2 linked regions of the Struthio camelus genome follow. The protein of the gene in region 1 binds, or shares a complex with, the protein of each later gene. Links are inferred from orthologs where the notes say so. Each region holds a gene or a part of one and is shown on either strand. Other genes may lie near its edges.

The links.
Region 2: the proteins of ALK (region 1) and ALKAL2 are in contact, whole or in part, in a cryo-EM structure (PDB 9G5I), measured with the Homo sapiens proteins. The link is inferred for Struthio camelus from reciprocal best matches to the Homo sapiens genes ALK and ALKAL2. Residues at the interface, in NP_004295.2 of Homo sapiens: Leu684, Tyr739, His755, Ser758, Leu760, Phe856, His857, Glu859, Leu965, Tyr966, Thr967, Pro968, Leu970, Lys971, Val972, Met973, Glu974, Glu978, Asn980, Val992, Glu994, Cys995, His996, Met997, Phe1007, Asp1009; in NP_001002919.2 of Homo sapiens: Ser112, Lys113, His114, His116, Arg117, Leu118, His120, Asn121, Thr122, Arg123, Asp124, Arg133, Arg136, Leu137, Arg140, Leu141.

What each region holds. Positions count from the first base shown.
Region 1 is NC_090944.1:123,891,431-123,899,993, reverse strand, and holds the start of ALK (ALK tyrosine kinase receptor), read left to right. Parts: upstream 1-4,353; coding exon 4,354-4,978; intron 4,979-8,563. UniProt on the Homo sapiens protein: Neuronal receptor tyrosine kinase that is essentially and transiently expressed in specific regions of the central and peripheral nervous systems and plays an important role in the genesis and differentiation of the nervous system.
Region 2 is NC_090944.1:30,143,789-30,153,258, forward strand, and holds the start of ALKAL2 (ALK and LTK ligand 2), read left to right. Parts: upstream 1-5,188; 5' UTR 5,189-5,506; intron 5,507-6,514; 5' UTR 6,515-6,593; coding exon 6,594-6,852; intron 6,853-8,711; exon of another isoform or gene 8,712-9,293; coding exon 9,294-9,347; intron 9,348-9,464; coding exon 9,465-9,470. UniProt on the Homo sapiens protein: Cytokine that acts as a physiological ligand for receptor tyrosine kinases LTK and ALK, leading to their activation. Cytokine-binding is sufficient to activate LTK. In contrast, ALKAL2-driven activation of ALK is coupled with heparin-binding to ALK.

The sequences.
Region 1 (8,563 bases):
CTCTCAGTGCTGTCTCCACATTGTTGCTGGTGTGTGAAGGCAGTGTTGCCTAAGGAGTTGACACTGTGCACAGTCTCAGCTAAATCTAAGCAGAAATGTTAAAACAAAGCAATTGCTGATGCTTGCTCAGTCTATTATGTACCCGTCTTCCGCTCACAGTACTGCAGTTTGCAAGTCTTCTGGTTAATTTTTTCAGCCCTGTGATGCTGCTCAGCTCTAATTTCTCGTGGTAGTATTTCACATGAAGTTCTGGCAAAGGTTTACTAGGGTGTGGATATACTACATTTACTGGATCTCTCCCAAAATCTAAACAGTTGCAATTAGAGCCCCAACAAGTGATAAAGCTTGCCTGGCACAAGTTTCGTAAGGCTGGAGGTCTGTGAATCTTTTATGGGCAGACTGTGCTTTCCGGGGTGTCACGCTCTCAGCTCTGGGACACTGCTCTGCTTCCTCTGAAGTGCCCTTTCTGGCATGTTCTTTCATTCTTTTGCTGGCGCTGAAATGTAGACCTATCTATGTGACTCTTTTTTTCTCCACTGTAAAGTTAGTACTGCATTTAATTTTCCCCCTATCCTTTGAGACCTCCTTGGTTTTCCTCCGCTTTTCAAAATTAATTGCCAGTGACATAGTCAATTCATTAGCTAAATTAAAACCCTGGGAACCATATTGTCCGGATCTGCTGATCCCAGCCTATCAAAGAGTTGTACAAAGTATTTCCTTACCTGTCCTTCATTAGCAGCTGTATTGACCGGGCTTCTATTACTTCCCAATTGTCCATACTACTCTTCTTGTTAAAGACCTCTTGAAAAGGGAGAAAAAAGAGGCAGCGCAGCAACTCAACCACTGCAGATCCCTCATTGATTTCCTTGCCTCTCTCTTCATTCATTAATGGATCCGTCTTCACTTTTTCTCTTTAGATGTATTAACGGCTGTTCCTATTTCATTTGATGCCTATTAGTCAAGACACCTCTTTGATTCAGTTTTCAGTTCTAACCTTTTTGTGATTCATGGCAGAGAAACAAGGTAATACAGTAGGAAAAGAACACATCTGTATGTTTTGATGCTCCCTACCTGATTTCCTTGGGACCATTAAATAACATTCTTTTAGCTGCTATGACAATTTCAGGATGCTGCTTTTTCTGCTTTTTTTTTTTTTTTCCAGGCGCACTCAAATTATTTCACTGAGTGCTGTGTGTGCTTTAGGAATGCTGCATCGTAACCCAAATGCGGGCAAAAGCCACCATCCCTTTGTCTTATCCCCAGGCGTCTCAGCATTTTTCTCCTACAATCCCCCAGGGGACAACCCCAAAACAACTGGCACAATCACTTGCGTCCATACAGCACCCACACCGCTGACACTGACCAGGAGGTTGGGTTGTACTTCGGGTCATAAGTAGAAGGAGATATGTTTACGAGAGAGCAGATTTAGTAGGGCCTTTGTTTGTATGCAGTGCCCAGACAATGTTGCTGTTATCCTACCCCTGTCACAATAGATCTAGTTCTTCATATATCTTCTCCAGCATCCTCCCACAAGGCAGAAGGCCAGTCCTAGCAGGGTACTATTGACCTGAAGACTGACTGCTGCTCAGTGGGCTCCAGAAAAATGAATCCCTGTATTCCTAGGTTGGGCACATCACAAAAACTCCCTGTCCTGCTCAGCAGCTTTTTTGGTATTCGTGGTAGAGAAGACAGAGTCCAAAGAGATACGGTGACTGACCTCAACTCTAAGAGAGATATGAATAGGCAGTGTGAAAGAAGGATGCAGTGTGCCATAGCATATTTTTTTATTTCATTCTGAGGAGAAATCAGAGAGCGAAGTTTCTAGTTATGCCAGTCTGACTCATTGCTGGGGCCAACTCTGACTTCCTAGTTATGATGAAAGTCAGTGAGATGTCTGTATAATTTCCAAGATAAAGAGCAAAGTTGAGGAGATACACTCTATCTTAGCAGGATGTTGGGGATAAATGAATCAGTCAAATTATTCTGCTCCTAGTAGCTGAGTTGAAAATCTGAACTGTGTCCTGGGCCTACCCTATTAAAGTCAGTGGGAGACTGGCCATTCACTGAAGTGAGCAGAGCATTAAGCCCTGTTTGACTGAATCTTAGAGGAAAATACTAAGAACTGAAAACTGTAGAAGTCCCATAGTAGAGACTTCATTTGATGGAAATCTGATATGCGCAAGCAGGAAAACAGTCTATAATAAACTGTGAAAGAGATTTTTAGAACATTTTCTTCCAGTGCCCAACATACCATTTTTTTGCGGTAATTGTCGTTCTTTTTGAGAGAGACTCACTCGCATTTAATACTCCTCCAGAGGAAGATGATAGTCCAAAATAATTTGGAGAATAGAGCAGGTCTGAGGACCTAGTTCTCAATCCATGAATGTGCACATTAGTAGGACTATCCACTAGAGTAAAAGATGCTGCTGAGTTAAAAGGCCGGAGGCCCATGATTGATTCAGTCCATTTAACATTTTTTTCCAATAAGGATTTTGAGGTCAAGAGAATAAAAGCATACAGATCAAGTTGAAATATTTGTATGTTGGATGTTGTGTCCCAAGACACTTGTATGTGTTCAGTTTGCAAAAAGTAAAAATATGGCGAATTTCCCACCCTTCTAAGGGGCATAATGCTGGCTCTGAACAGATGCCAAGTGGGGTGTTTCCAACAGTTTCCTCTTTTAAGAAAAGGAAGACCAAGGCCCAAAGTATTACTAAAACTTACAAGTGAAGGATTAGGGTTCACCGGTAGGACAAGTGAATCTAGTGGATTGTAAAATAACAGCAGCTATGGGGAAAAGCGGGTACGACCCAAGCCCATTAGCATCGGTTGGGACAACATGCATCCTCTTCGATGAGCTTTGAATTCTCAAGAACTATATTAGACTAAATATGGCAGAAAAGTTCTTTGTTGAATTAAGCATATTATATAACTATTCCTGTGATACTTGCCCTGAAGTTCCTTCTTTAACTCTTCTGTGTAGAAAAAATCCTGGTTCTCTTTTCTAACATTGTGCCTGCAATCACACTCTTTGGCACTACAATTATGGAGGGATTACACTGTGATTCTACTCCACAATATCTGTATATTAACGCTAATTTGATATAAGCAGAAGAATAACCACATGACAGAATAATTGCACTCTAATGATTATATAGTTAAAGTACCTGGATTATAAAAATATACATGCATTAAGTATCAAACTAAAGAGATAATAATAAGGCATTAATTCATATAGGCAACTTCCAGAAATATGAATGAGTTATGATTAGCTATCCTAAGGCATAGCACTAATGTAATTACAGTAATTATATTGTATTTATTAAAGGTAAAAAAGGGGGAAATTGTAGCATGAGCCATTCTTAAGGCTGTTGTTTCCATTCTGAAATGGAACATTTTTGTTCATTTTTTAATATGACTTATGCTCTAAGATTTCTTTTTTTCCCCCCTCACTTCTTCTTCTGCAGAGGAAAGCTATACAGGGTTGTTTGGGAGACCTCAGTCTTTAAGGAGAGAAGGAAGGAGGGAAAGGAAGGAAGGAAAAAGGGAAGGAGGGAGGGAAAACGGGAAGGAAAAGGAAGGAGAAGGAGGGAGGGAGGCAGGAGGGAAAGAAGGAAAGGGAGGGAGGGAAAATGAACGGCGCTGTCCACCACTGCCTGCACAGAGAGAAAGGGAAGAGCGGCCCGGGCGGGCCCCGGGACTCCAGGGCCCGACAGCGCACGGCGGCACCGCCTGGGGCCCGCCCCGCGGCTGGGGCCGGGGGCTCGGCCGGGTGGCGCGGGGGTGCGGGGGCGCCGCCAAGCCCCGGCCCTGCCTGCCCGGAGCGCGGGGCCGCCGCCGCCGCCCCCCCCGGCGCTGCGCATCCCCGACGCGGCGGCGCGGCGCCCCGGCACCCCTCCCGTCGGGGCGGCCGGGGGCGGCCGGGCTATTTTTTTCTCAATGAACTCGCCCCCCCGCCCCGCCCCCGTCATATTTGCATAATGACGGCTGCCGGGGACGGCATTGGCTGCTGCCGGGCGGGCTCGGGCGTGATGTCAGCGCTCGCCGGGTAATGCCTGCGTTGTGGCGGGTAGTTGGAGCCGGCAAAGCCCGCGCGGCGGCGGCGGCGGCAGCAGCAGCAGCAGCAGCGGCGGCGGCGGCGGCGGCAGCAGCATCGGCCTCGGCACCGGCGGTCCCGGGCGCACCGGCCTCGGCAGCGGCCCCGGCCCCGCGCTCCTCGGCCCCGCGCTCCTCGGCCGCAGCGGCCCCGGCCCCCGGGGCGCACCGGCCCCGGTGCCGCTCCGTCGGGGCAGGACGGGGCGGCGGCGCAGCGGGGCGCGCCCCGAGCGGCCGCCGAGGGCGGGCGGGCGGGCCATGGCGGGGGACCGGCTGCCCGTCCGCCTGCTGGCCGCCGCCTGCCTCGCCCTGAGCCTGGCGGCGGCGGCGGCAGCGGGGCCGGCGACGCCGCGGGAGAGCGCCGGCTTCTCGCGGCTGCAGCGGAAGAGCCTGGCCGTGGACTTCGTCGTGCCCTCGCTGTTCCGGACCTACGTGCGGGAGCTGGTGCTGGGGCCGCCGGGGCTGGCGGCAGCGGCGCGGTGCCGCTTGCGGCTGGACTGCGCGCCGCTGCTGCGCGCCGCCCGCGGGGGGCTGCCGCGGGCCGCGCCGCCCGCCCGCCCCGGCGGCCCCGGCGCGGCGCTGCCCGGCGGCCCGGCTCGGAGGCTGCGCCGCGCCAAGCAGCTGGTGCTGGAGGTGGGCGAGGGCAGCCTGCGCGACGGCTGCGCCGCCGAGCCGCCGCCGAGCCCCGGCGGGGCGGGCGGCGCGGCGCAGCTGGAGTTCAACCTCACCGAGCTCTTCGCCGGCTGGCTGCGCGCCGGCCAGGGCCGCCTGCGGGTGCGCCTGATGCCCGAGCGGCGGGCCGCCCTGCTGGGCAGGGAGCGAGGGCTCTCGGCGGCCATCCGCGCCGCCCGGCCCCGGCTCCTCTTCCACGTCTCGGCGGCAGGTGAGCTGCGCGTTGCATGCCGCCGCGCCCCGCTCCGCGCCCATCCCCGCGGCCGCCCGGCCGCCCGGCCCTGCCCTCCGCGCCCTGCGCAGCCACTGCGCCTTCCCCACCCTCGGCAAACACCCGGCCCGCCCACGCGGTCGCCCCGTCGCTGCTCTAGCCCCGTGGGTGCGGGGGGAGATGCGGGAAGTGGTCGCGGCTTTCCCCTTGGCGGCTGAGAGATGCAGCGGCGGGTCCGCGGGGCCACGCTCCGAAAGCGCCGAGGGCTTGCACGAAACGCGAAGGGTTCGTTTGTGCCTGGCGGCCACATGCAAAACCCACGGGCAAAGCCCTCATTGCTCTGCGGAGAGCGAGATAAGGCTCTTGGAAACTTAAAAATGCCATCTTAGAAGGGGCAAGTTTACGCAAGTGCAGCAAGCGATCCCCAGGTTATGTGCAGGCAGACCTCAGGGAATAGGAGAAACACGTCCAAAGCGGAGCTGACCAGCAGATCGATACGTCACTGCTGATAGTGATACGTGACAGTATTATTTCTCCTCTTAAAGATACAAGGTAATGGGCTAACACATAAACATGTACGTGGAGCTGGTGCTTCTCTGAGTTTCATGTATCTGAAACTGGGTTAATTTCTATCAAAAATCATTGAGCATCCTTAGCGAACTGCACTGTAGGAGATCCAGTAAGACAAAAAGTTATTCATCTGAGGAGCCTCACTTACCACTGGTGTTTTTCTGAAGAAAGAATGTGGCTTAAAATATTGGTTCCAGACTGCAGTTATTTGCAGTCAGGATACGGGGCAGCTCCGTTACCTCTAATCAAGTCTCTGCTTTGGGCTAGTAATCAAGAAAGCTTTCCATTCTGTGCATGCGATTTACCTTTAACACTAGCTCTTATTCAGGCTGTCCCACTGAAAGAATGTAGTACCTATAGGACTGCAGGGTCAAATAATTTGTTACAGTGAATTAAGTTAGGTAGCTTTCATGAAGCTATGTAGAAGTCAATGGTGCGTTCCTGAGTAGCCACCTAGTTAATGGACCAGGGAGTATACTTAAGCAAATTCACAAGAGGTGAGACAAGTCAGTGCTGGGCTTTGAATACAAAGTTGAAGCAACTGATTTCTGACGCTCCACTGAAAAGCTGGGCCAGCAACTGGAATAAGTGCAAACTGAACTCATATCATTCCTTGCTGCCTGACGCCAAAATCAAAGCAGGTTGTCAGAGCAGGGTCTATGTGATCCAGTCTTATACTCATGGCTGGCACGAGATGCCCTGGTTATCTTCCTGTACGAATTCTGGCAGGGGTAAGGCAGAGGTACTTTCTACCACAAGGTGGCCAGGCGAGGTCAAAAACAAACCAAAAAACCCAGAAAAACCTGCTTGCTGTTTTCATCATTTGGGAATTTATTGTGAGGTGCACTTGTCTTGCTTCACCGTTGGACAGTTAAGATGTAGCTTTAGCTTTTAATGCCAGCTTAGACCCAGTGCTTTTAGTAATAGAGGGGCTGGAGAGCGTGCACTTGCCCTCTGTGAGGATGAAGGTGTGTCTGTGACCCTGGCGAAGGGAGTCCGTGTGGACTAACAAGGTGCTCTGGTCTTAGGAAGACAAGGCAGATGGAACTTTAACTAAAGTTAGTAACCCTTCAGGCTTTGGACGTTGTCTTCGCTGTTGAGAAGAAATGCATACTTTTACAGATAGGTGACTAGTAGTTAGGCATTCCCCTGTAAAATCACGTTGGAGACACGGCTCTGCAGTCTTTACTGCAATATAGTCATACACAGTCAATCATAGGGGACGCAGGAATAGGAGGAAGAGAGAAGAAGGAATATTGACCTCATCTACCTGTATCACAGCAATAACCACTCCTAACAGAGGTTCCTAATCTCTAAAAATCCGAGTCTCCCCTTGAATTTTACACCAACGTGCATAACATGCATAGGCTGTGTCGCTATAAAATTATACTCTGCTTTTTTAGCAATGAAAACTTAGTGTACTTAGGCTATTACATGACTTTGCATTAGGTTTGTAACGTGGGTTTGCTAAACACATTAAAAATCCATTCTTTCTGCTTTGTGAAGATACTGCCTGTTTGAACACCATGTGTCACTGCCATACTTCAATTCGTGCCATATAGCCCTGCCGATAGCAGGACGTGCTGACACGGTGATAACATCCAGCAGCCTGTAAGCGTGAGGAATGCAGCCATTATTAACGCCGTTGCAGCTAATGTGTGCGGGGCTTAGCTAAAGCCCTTCCTAAGGCGACTGAGCCTTGCCTTCATTGCTTAAGTTAATTGGAAATGGATTGCAAGCAACACAATCCTACCATCAATAATGTAAAGCTGCCTCACTTATTTTGGCATATTTAGCTTTTTTTTTTTTTTTTTTCTTTCTTGTTAGAGAGGCTCAGCATTGCCGTACTTCCCAGGGAAAGATGTAATTACCTTGCTAAATTATTTTGGCAAAATTATCCTCCATATGAATGGAGACTGAAATATATTTTAGGATGAGAAAAAACTGCAAGGAGCTCAATTCCCATTGTCTTTAAGGGTTATGGAAGAGTCCCTTAAAAGTGCTCTATTCTCCTTAACTGTTACACTCCCTGATACTGGCTTAAAGATATTAAACCAGAGTGAACTCTTTTCCTTTCTAACAACATGTTTGCACAAAGCAATGTAATGTAATTTGCCTCAGTGTGTTACTGAACAATTAGTAAAAGATGTACTAACTGGACTGCTGCTGTTTAACAGACAAACCATGAAGTTCACGGGAATTTTTATAGGGCTTTCTGCAAATATTCTCAATGCCAGATTTCTCACATGCACTCATCCTTGTGGGAATGGAGTACCCTGCAAAAAAGAGCTTCCAATTTCAGAAGCTCTGGTCCCAAGCCCATCCACAATTTCTATGTCAGCTTGGCCTTTCCAGAATTGGCTAAGAGACAGTTTTCCTCTCTTGGAAATGCTTCAAGAATTAATACTGGCTTCCTCTCCTTCCCCTAGTGCTTCTCTGGGACAAAATCAAATTCATTTCAATCTTTTTGTGGAAACACAAACAATAAAAATTGCACAAGAAGGGAGGGGCAAGCTCAGAGAGCATCACCGTGCTGCAAACCTCCCATGTTTTAGGCAAGCCTCCCAACTACCAGGTTGCTGGTGACTTTGCTGTCATTTTCTTTGATGTTGACTGGAAATTCCATCCCCGCCTCCAAGGAAACCTTTCCCGAATCAGTTTAATCAAAACCAATACCTTCCCACGGGAAACTGATCTGCCGGCAAACCCTTTTGTCGCAATATTGGTGACCGGCTTTGCTCCTCACCTTGGGGTAGGGTTTGTGACCTGGTGTCAAAACACAGTCCATCTTGGTAGCTGTGTATTCTCTGGACAGGTTATTGAGCCTTCTTTGAAACAGTCCTAAATTGCCTCTATATTGCCACCAAAGAACTGTCTGAACATCAGCGTTGCACCTTGCGTGGCTGTTCCTCTGCTGCTGGGCTAAAATTACCCGCAGGACTTTGAGATCAAGTAGGGTACTGCACTTTGCACGTTGCGCGGAGGTCTTGGGCAGACCGTCTTGGTGGATCTCAT
Region 2 (9,470 bases), about 94 Mb from region 1:
AAGGCAAACAGACAGCAGTCAACAATGAACACACATATAGCAGGCCCACTGCTGCATATCGGATACAGATAAAGAAGGGTCTTCCTCTGAACTGCTTATGGCCTCAAAAACAGTTTCTTAGAGTGGAATTAGCCTCCCACCTTCCATTAGTTGTTTAAAAGTTAGGAGTCTGGTCTTTGTTAGTGTCTCGCTATAGTCAATAGTCTACCATGAAGAGGAGCTTGACTTGCTTCTCTGTAGCATTTATCTTTATTCTGCAAAGTTAAGTATCTCCAAAAAACTATAGATGGAATAATTCGGAGTACTTTTCTTCAGCCTCTGGTTTCTGAACCTTGAAATTCCAGGGGATACTTTGAAAACTATGAAAGGTAACTAGACAAAGTGACACTATTCTCATAGGACACACATTTCCTCCAGCTTGTTCAGTGGGATTTCCACAGTCGGTTTGCACTGGTGCAGCACCACAAAACTAACCGAATATAATGTTGAATCTGGCTCAGTGACTGAAGTGTTGGCCAACGCAGAGCTGTCTTTAGCCTTGAATTTACAGGTAGAGAATATTATAGGCAGAAATCTGCTCTTTTAAACTCTCTACCAAAAACATCAGGCCGGCCCTGCCTGTAACGCTGACAGAACGTTTAGGAAGTATATCAAAGTTCTCCAGTCTTGGTTGCCGTGATGATTAATGGGATTTTAATCTTCTTGGCATTTGGACCAGGTAGGAAGCGAGGAAAGCCCTTAAAATACTCAATTGGCTTTAATACCCTAACATCTGTTGAAGTTTTTGTTCACGTTATGTATGTTCTCTGGTTGATTTCAGCACTACAGGAATTCGTAATGCCTCATCTCTGCCCTCCCCAGCAGCTGTCACTGCATTGGGCATTGCCTCTGAGAGTTGGAGGCTCACAGAGATGACTGAGCCAGGTGCATAAATATTATTTTACACTTAGGTACAATACATTATATTGAAAACATATTCAACAGTTTCATAAATTGGAACAGAGATTTTGGAAAAAAACATCTGTTGGATGCTACATATATATTTTCCTATCTAGAATTTTAAAATAACTATCATAAACATAGCTTCCAAAGTAATACCCGCATGCTCTGCTCACAGAAATGTAGCTAACCTAACAGTGGCCAGAAAGAAAATCTACTTGTCATTTGCCAGTGCAGGTATTCTTGAATCATCAGGTAGGATAAACTTCCTCTTAAAGAATTACTGACTTCCGTATGGGATAAAAAGTCGCCACATATGGTGGATGTGATCTATACTTTGCAAGTCCAGTTGTCAAGTCAGTCAACGGATAGCCACTCAAGAAACCCAACAGAATTACCAGCTCCATACCATCTCATCATATTTATTTTTATCATGATTGACATATAACTTGAAGAAGATTAAATATTGCTTTTCTTCTGTGAGGACTGAAAAGTCTGTTTTTTAAACTCACAGGGTAACTTTTTAGAATTTTTATAAGCAGTTGGAATGCTTATGGGGAAAAAAAGGATTTCAAAACATCATTTTGAGGTTCTGAGGTCAATAGAGAGCGATACAAGAAGCATTTTCATAGTCTAGTCATATGAATGTCCGCTGGAATTTTCTAAGTGTACACTCAGTTCATATATTGGTTATGAGCTTGATTTAGACAATCAGCTCTGCTCTGCAATCACTTCAGAAAATGTTGCACTTGCTTTTATTAAATATAGATAGGAACCCTTATGTCTGTTATAATCAGCTGAAACAAGAGCACGCTTGAAACTGTAAGGCTCTTAGCATGAAAATTTCACCAGTTTTAGAAGACAGAACCAAGTACACATATTCTTGTTTTCACGTACGCCCCGTAAGTTTAAAAAAAAAAAGTGAAGATATCTTTAACATTCTAGCATGGCATTAGAGAAAGGAATTGGTGAAAGTTAGTAAAATTGCTACCCAGAAAACAGTGACTACCGTGTGTTAGTTAATGACGCTAGAAATTCCACTTTGGTTTTTGTTCCAAATTCCAAACTTAGTGCCTCTGCTCCATAACCCACCCAGGGAACGCAGTGTGAAGTCTTCACGCATCAGTGAAGTCTGTCCACCCAATACAGCATTCAGTCTTCTTTTTTTTTACTTTGTGCTTGCTTCACATGGTCCTTATTCAGAGGATTAAGATGTTCACTTTAAAAATAGATTTGATTGCCGAGGAGACCACTAACTTGATGTTCTGTAAACATAAGCCAAAAAATCACATCAGGAGTTTTTTTTTAATGAAATCTATCCCTGCAGGACAAGCCAAAATACTCATTATGTTGTAATATCTCTTTGGCTTCCTCATCCAAGATTGTGTTGCTTTTTGAGACTGGGGGCCATATCACCCTCTCCACCTTCTTTCAAGGAACGCAAGAAGAAAGTCTTTCTTTATGTCCATGTGCAGCTGGCTGAGAAGGTGTGTTCATCTGTCATTTCTATCTGAAGGCATCCGAACTTACATCTTGTAAATCCTGGGAGCATGCTTTCTTCAGCATCCAGGCTGCTTAGTGCCATCAAGAGTCAGATGCTTCCCAATATCCAGAAAAGAACTCCAAGCACCTCTGAGCTTTAATGGCAAAACAGTGCACCTACTCACTTCCGAAGCCTCAAGAGTCAGATTGAAGGCGGGCAGAAGTCTTGGAGATCGCAGTTTCACCCATATATATGCAGAGAAGGTGTTTGGTAGTATTTCAGTGGTAAGCACTTAGATAGTTAGTTAAATCTAGCCCTAAGAAAATGTACTTGATAACATGTAATATGCTGGAACATTAAATTATCATCCCAAATCTATCAGTGTAAATTTCAGTTAACTCCACTGAAGACATGGGAGCTAGCATTTATCTGTGTATAAATCAATGTAAACAAATCAAAATAGACCACTGCCTCAGTTTCTGCATGCATAAAAAGACAACAGATTGTGTATTACCTACTTTATAGCTCAGTGAATATTTTCATAGTACTTTGAGTCTACATCTATATTAGTAAATTAAAGAGGAATAACCCTGGACATCTGAATGAAATTGCCTACATCGTCAATTTGTCCTTGGCATGCTTTTGGTTCACGCCAGCTAACGCTTTCCCTAACTCATGCTGGAGTTATTGTTTCCAAAGCGATTAATTTGGAAGAAGTATTACTTATAATTACTTGTAATAATTACTCGCAATAGAAGTAAATAGTGAGAAGTAAATAGTAGAGAAGTAAACAGCAAACTGTCAGATTGTGCAATATCTGTCCAGTTTTCCATCTTTGCTATCTATCTCCTGTCTCGTAGCTATAGTGTTACTATTTGGTATGACTAAATTGCAACTATAACCATACTATGGTTATGCCATGCAAAGTACCATTCTTTCTTACTGATGAACTATCGTTTCATTTTTTTCCCCCAAGTCTCAAGACTAGAAACAAATCACCAAGCCAAAGAGAAACTAGTTTTCTGGACTCCTTTCAAAATTGCTCTTGCTCAATCTTGCCTCTGGATGTCTTTCTTAATCATGCTGTATTGTGTAGCATATCCATATATTTAAAAGTAATAAAATAAGTATTTACAGAAAGACACATATAAAAGGCAAACATAGAGCATGGTGAAATCATCTTTTTTTTTTTCTTCTTCCTTTTGTTTGGAAGCACTTGGAAGCACTTTGGAAGTCAGGAAAACTTATTCCGCGCTGGGTGATTTACAGCTCTTAGTGAGCAGAGGTAACGCGCTCTGCTCGGCAGAAGACGAGGCTCCTTCGAGACGCGCACATGGCCGGCGGCGGCGCGGCCCGCCGCGGGGGGAGGAGCTTCCCTCCACAGCCGAGCCCAGCCGTTGCCCGCAGCCGTTAACGGCCGGCTCCGCGCGCCTCCTGCGGCCGCGGGCAGGGTCCCCCCAGCCAGCCCCCCGCCCGTGCTGGCTCCGCGCCGCTTCCCTCGGCTCGGCTTCGCCAGGGCTCAGTTTCGCCAGCTGCCACTGCGGGTCACTGTTGCTGCTGCCTGAGGAGAGGAGGACGCCGCGCTCTACCTGACTTCTGTAGCTACCAGAGCGGGGCAGAAGGGGCAGCGCTTCCTCAGTCCCCCGACCTCGCTGCGCGGGAGCGGACGTTATCTGCGGGGTGCCTCCTTCCCCGCAAGTTCACGTCCCGTCCCCTCAATCCGTTCGCCTCCCGCTCCGACCCCCGTCTTCTTCTGGGGTTTGGAAAGTACTCTCACCGCTCGATCCAACTTTGTATTTGTCTTTTGAGCTGCCAAGGGAGAGGTTTATACACACAATCAAAGTAAATAGAAAAGTTCAGTTGGATCATGTTTCACCGTGTTTCACTTCGGCTCCAGAAGTTCTGAGGGGCTTAATGGGGAAACGGAGGGGAACTCTGTTCGGGCTGAAAATCTGTGGTTGGGCGGGAGGTGTTGGGTCTTGCAGGACGGCTCTCGCTCTTACAGGGAAGCATAACGCCGCGTGTTTCCAGGAGGCTTTCGCCTCTTCACGTCTCTCCGACGTCCCCCGTGGTAGTCCCCCTTTATTCAGGTGGTCACCGTTTGCGGACCGAGCTGATGACTGACGAGAGTCTGCAGCGCGCTCCTGTCCGTGGCGCTGCCTTCTCCCCGCTTCGCCCTCCTTCCCCCCCCCCCCCCCGGCCGGCTCTACTGGGAGCGTTTCCAGGCAGTGCCGCGCTGAGAGCCCAGGAAGCCGCCTCACCGCTCGGGACTACCCTTGCCAAGAATAAGCGAGAAAGGCGACACGCCCGCCTCTTCCACCCAGACCCTACTCCCGCCACCTCGCTGCGGGCTTCCCGGTCGGGAGCAGCAGAAAATAGCCTCCCTTTTCCCCAGCCGCTCGCCCCCGCCCCAACACCTCCCCTTCCCCGCCGCAGCCAGACCCGAAGTTCCTGGTAAACACGCGGCTTCCCCGCCCGCCCCCGCGGCGCGGCCCCCGGCGAGTGACGGCCCCGGGGCCGGGGACCCGCCTGACGGCGAGCCGCGCCAAGGGCCATGAATATTTCAGAGGCTTCTCAGCGCGTTTCTAATTAAAGGCTCAGGCTAGGCGCTCCCCCCGCTCCCATCTTCCCGCCGCCGCCCCCTCCCACTCCACACACACACACTTGGGACCGTCTCCTTACGTCGGAGAGAGGAGAAGGAGTGACTGAGCCCTGCCCGGGGAGCTGCGCTAAGGGGAGGGACGGGGGGACCGGGGCGGGAGGGAAGGGAGGGCGGGAAGGGGGGGCTTGTGCGGCAGCGACGCTCCCGAGGTTGCCAAGTGGACTTTTATTGTTTTCCACCCACTTCCAAGTCGATACTATCTGCCGTCTCATGTCCATCCTATAGCCTATATAAGCGGCTGCGCTGGGGCTGGAGGAGATGGAGTAGTTTGTGGATACGGCGGGAGCACAGGGACGGGAGGGGGGCGGGCCAGCCGGGGGAAACTTGGACTCCCCGCCGCTTGCGGGCTGCTGCTGGCCGGGAAAAGTCACGGGAGCGACTCCCGCGGGAAGGAGACATCGGATCCCGGGACGCGGAGGCAGGTAACAACGCTGGGAAGGGCCAGCAGCCCTCCTTGCTCCCTCTCCCTCGCCTCATGCCGCCCCGGCGAAGCGGAGCGCTGCGGGCGGCGCTGCGGGGTGGCCCGGCCACGCGAGTGACAGCCGGCGGGCTGTCCCGGGAAAGTCGGCCCGGCAGAGCGGCCACGCGGCGCGCACCCACGCGCGGGGACGCGCTGGGCAGCCGGCTGCGGGGCTGGCCGCCCCGCGGCACTCGCCGGAGCGGGGAGGTGGCGAGCGGCGCCGCTCGGCTCGGGTCCTCTGCGGGCGCGGTGCGGCTGCTCCGCGCAGGGCTGGTTGTGGCTGCCGCGCTCCTTCCCTGAGTTGGGAGCGAGGAAAAAAAAAAAAAAAAGCAAGGAAAAGTAGGAGTCCGAGAGTGGCGTGTGGGGACGGCGGCAACGTGCGAGCCGTGTCACGGCCATGCCCCCAGCCAAGCAGCGCACCTCCTGCCAGGGCGAGATGCGCGGAGCGCCGGCCGTGCCGGGCCGCAGGGCCAGCGTGGGCTCGCTCGGCGCGCAGCCCCGCGCGCTTCTCCGGCAAAAACTTCGGGCGAAGTCGCCGCCTCCCTCCCGCCTCCAGCCCGTCGGCTGCGCTGCGCGGCCGCGGCCGCCTCCCTCCCGCCTCCAGCCCGTCGGCTGCGCTGCGCGGCCGCGGCGGCACGCGCCGCGGGCCCCTCGCCTCGCTGCGCCGCGCCTGAGCGAGGCGCGCCCCCGCCGCCCGCCGAGCGCCCCCGCCTCGCCCGGCGGCGCGGCTGCGCAGCGCGCCGCTGCGCGCGCCCGCCGGGGGCAGCGCGGGGAGCCCGGCCGCGGGGGCCGCTCGAGCTGCGGTGCGCCGGCTGCGCCGCCGGCCCGGGTGACAGACAGCCGGCCGGGGCGCCCGCACCCGCCTTATGTAACTTGAAAAGCGGACGCCGCGCTCGCCTCCTGCAGTCTTTCCGATTGCACCCCCTTGAGGCTCCCCACCTCCAACCCACCCCCACTTTTTCTCTTTCAGCAGGATAGGGGGCCTCCCACAGCCCCCTGTTCACATCCTTCCTTTTCATCTGGTCGTCCGCCCTCCAGGTCAGATTGCAATGAGTGGACTGAGGTCTCCTGGGTTTCTGGGGCTGATGCTCCTAATGCTCTCAGCAGGATACTGCAAAGAGAAAACTGACTCCACAGATTTGAAGGACAGGCAAAGTCTCTTAAATCTGATCATGGAGATCATTCAGGAACTGAAAAGGTACCACCTGGAGAAGGACAGCGGGGTGCAGTACTTCCCCAAACATGACTACACCTTAGACCGAAGGGAAGCGGCTGACTATGGGGGATACCAGGATGAACAGAGAGTTGGTAAGTTGCAATCCATGACTTAGGGGATCTTTTTCTTTCTGTACTGGCTTGGGGAATCAGAAATCACATTAGCTAGTTTTATATCAAGAATTCATCACTCAAAATATCTGCAATTCCCTCTGGTATCAGAAACTCATACAGACCGCAACTTCAGAATAGAAAAACTCCATTCATGCTTCAGTCTCTCTTTCCCTGGTCAAGGGTACTCAAGAGATCTGCCTTTCAGTTGTGCGTTGGCTTTGAATGTACAATATTAATATGTGAAAACAGTGAAATAGGTTGAGATCAGAGAAATCAGGGATGAAATGGTTCTTCCTCCTGGAAGCTTATCTTTTTTTAAATATGCCTCTTTTCTTTCCTGGAAATGATCCTACCAGTAATTCCTCTGCAGGACTATGCTATGCCCTTAGAGTGTTCACATTTAGAAATCTTTCCTGCAGTTCAGCCTTATTAAACTTTTCACCCCCATTTATTAGCCCCTTTTGTACTCTGGCGCTAGCATCTTTGAAACTGAAACACAGTACTCCACTGTCACTCTACAAGCCACGAATATTTTGAATCATTCCTTCAGTCATCATTCTACTCATTTGAATTGCTCTTCTCTAACCTCCAGTGAAAGTCCAGATTTTTTTTGTAAAATTACGTTCAAAATTGTACAGAGCAGTCCAGAAACAGTCATACTGAGCACCATGATGAAGGAGAGTTAAAGCTGTTTTATAACGTACTTCTGTGCATCCAGCTGAAAGTTGATTTGGCTTCTCCTGCTGCCATGTCTAATTTACTGTTCAGTGTCACTCCCAAACGCCCTCAGCATCACTGCTGCTAAGCTTACACCTCCTACTAGAAATGACTTTCTGAATATTGTCCAACAGATACCTATTCACTTTTTTCCAAACTAGCTTTCAGTTTGCTATTTTGCTATTTATGTTCTCACTCATTCAAAAATCGCAATGATCAGCAGTTGTTGGTGATTGTCACCAAAACGTTACTTCCGCATCTGGAAGATTAATGAATATATAAAGGAAGACTTTTGCTCTACTTAAGACCAGTACACTGGGAACATTTTGTTTTATAAATGTGAAAAAGTTAAGAGGCCAGACTGGCAGCGAACTCTAACCTGTACAATTCTTATGTCTCAACTTGTAATTTGGGCAGAGTTGGCTATCCTACACCTAAAAACTGGTGTGAAAAATCTGGCTTTTGCTGATCCATTTGTCTATGTGACTATAAAAACCACTTGACAGTAGGTTAGTTGGTAGTGGTGTCATTGACTCCTAAACAGGATTTTTCATTCTGTTGTTATAAGCGAATTATTGCCAGCAGCTCTGAAAAGGTTCCTTTTCAGCTCTACAGCTTAGAGTCCTTCATTTCAGTTTAGGTATCATTTTCCCAGTGAGTCTGTCCCCTGGGAAATTCCTCAGTGAAGCATGCGAGTTTTTAATGCTCTTCATGACATAATTAGGTCAAATATGATAAGGTCAATTTTACTTACACTCCCTAAAGTTAGAAGTAAATGAAGAATGACTTTCGAGAAGTGTCTAACCTCACAAGTCAATCAGATCTGGATGGAAATGTTCTCTACTTTATATCTGATAAGAAGTGCCAGGGGAATGAAAAAGGCTGCTCAGGCATTTGTGGCCAAATAAAGCACCATGTAGTGTATCATACACAATCAGCACTAAGCTATCAACATAGAGTTTGTAATGGAGAGCAATCAAAGATAGCTGTAAATCAGGAAGACACAAGCAAGGGTTAGGGCTAAAATGGATTTCAGTAAACCAGTTTCATTTTGCCATCTGCTGAACACAAAACACAAGGCAGTAAACCACAAACATACGGAGCCAGAAGAGAGCAATTTGCTTTGGATCATTTCCTGTGAATTTTATTTACTGCTAGAAGAAAAAGAAAAAAAAAAGATTCCTGTAAGTAGATCAATCCAGCTTCATGATTACAGCAGGACAGTACTTGTACAAACACACTTCTGACAAAATAGCGGATACATTCACAAAACAGAATCAGAAGAGAAGCCAGGAAACCAAATTTAAATACATCTTTGGATCTTTACTGTTAGTGGAATATGCAATTTCCGAGCAACTGTGAACTAAATTTTCTTAAAGAATTTAAATTTAGATCAGGTGATAACGCAAACCATAAAGAACTAAAATCTGACTCTTAGTTGTCGACGGCATTAATAACTGCACACTTAACAGACGTATGTTTCATCATCGCAGTGCTCTGCAGTACTGTTTATAGTGGCTTCACATGTAAAACTAAAGTTTGCAAGTTGGTCCACGGTACACAAGTGAGTTTTGATCTTGGTGTGTGTTAAAATACAGCAGTGTTGTTTGCTCATCAGAGTTTATTCCCTTCTCCTTCATAGTATATTTGGCAAACATAGTTCTAGTGTAGCCCAGTGAATATTCTTTTTTTCTGTCCAATAGAAATAGTTCCCAGAGATCTGAGGATGAAAGACAAGTTTTTGAAGCATTTAACAGGTATGTTACTTTTGCATTTGTATCCATTGTTTCATCTGCAAACTGTAGGCTGCACTACACTTCCAATAGTTCCTGTGAGCTGTGCTGATTCATAATTTATTTTTCTTCATGTTTCAGGTCCTC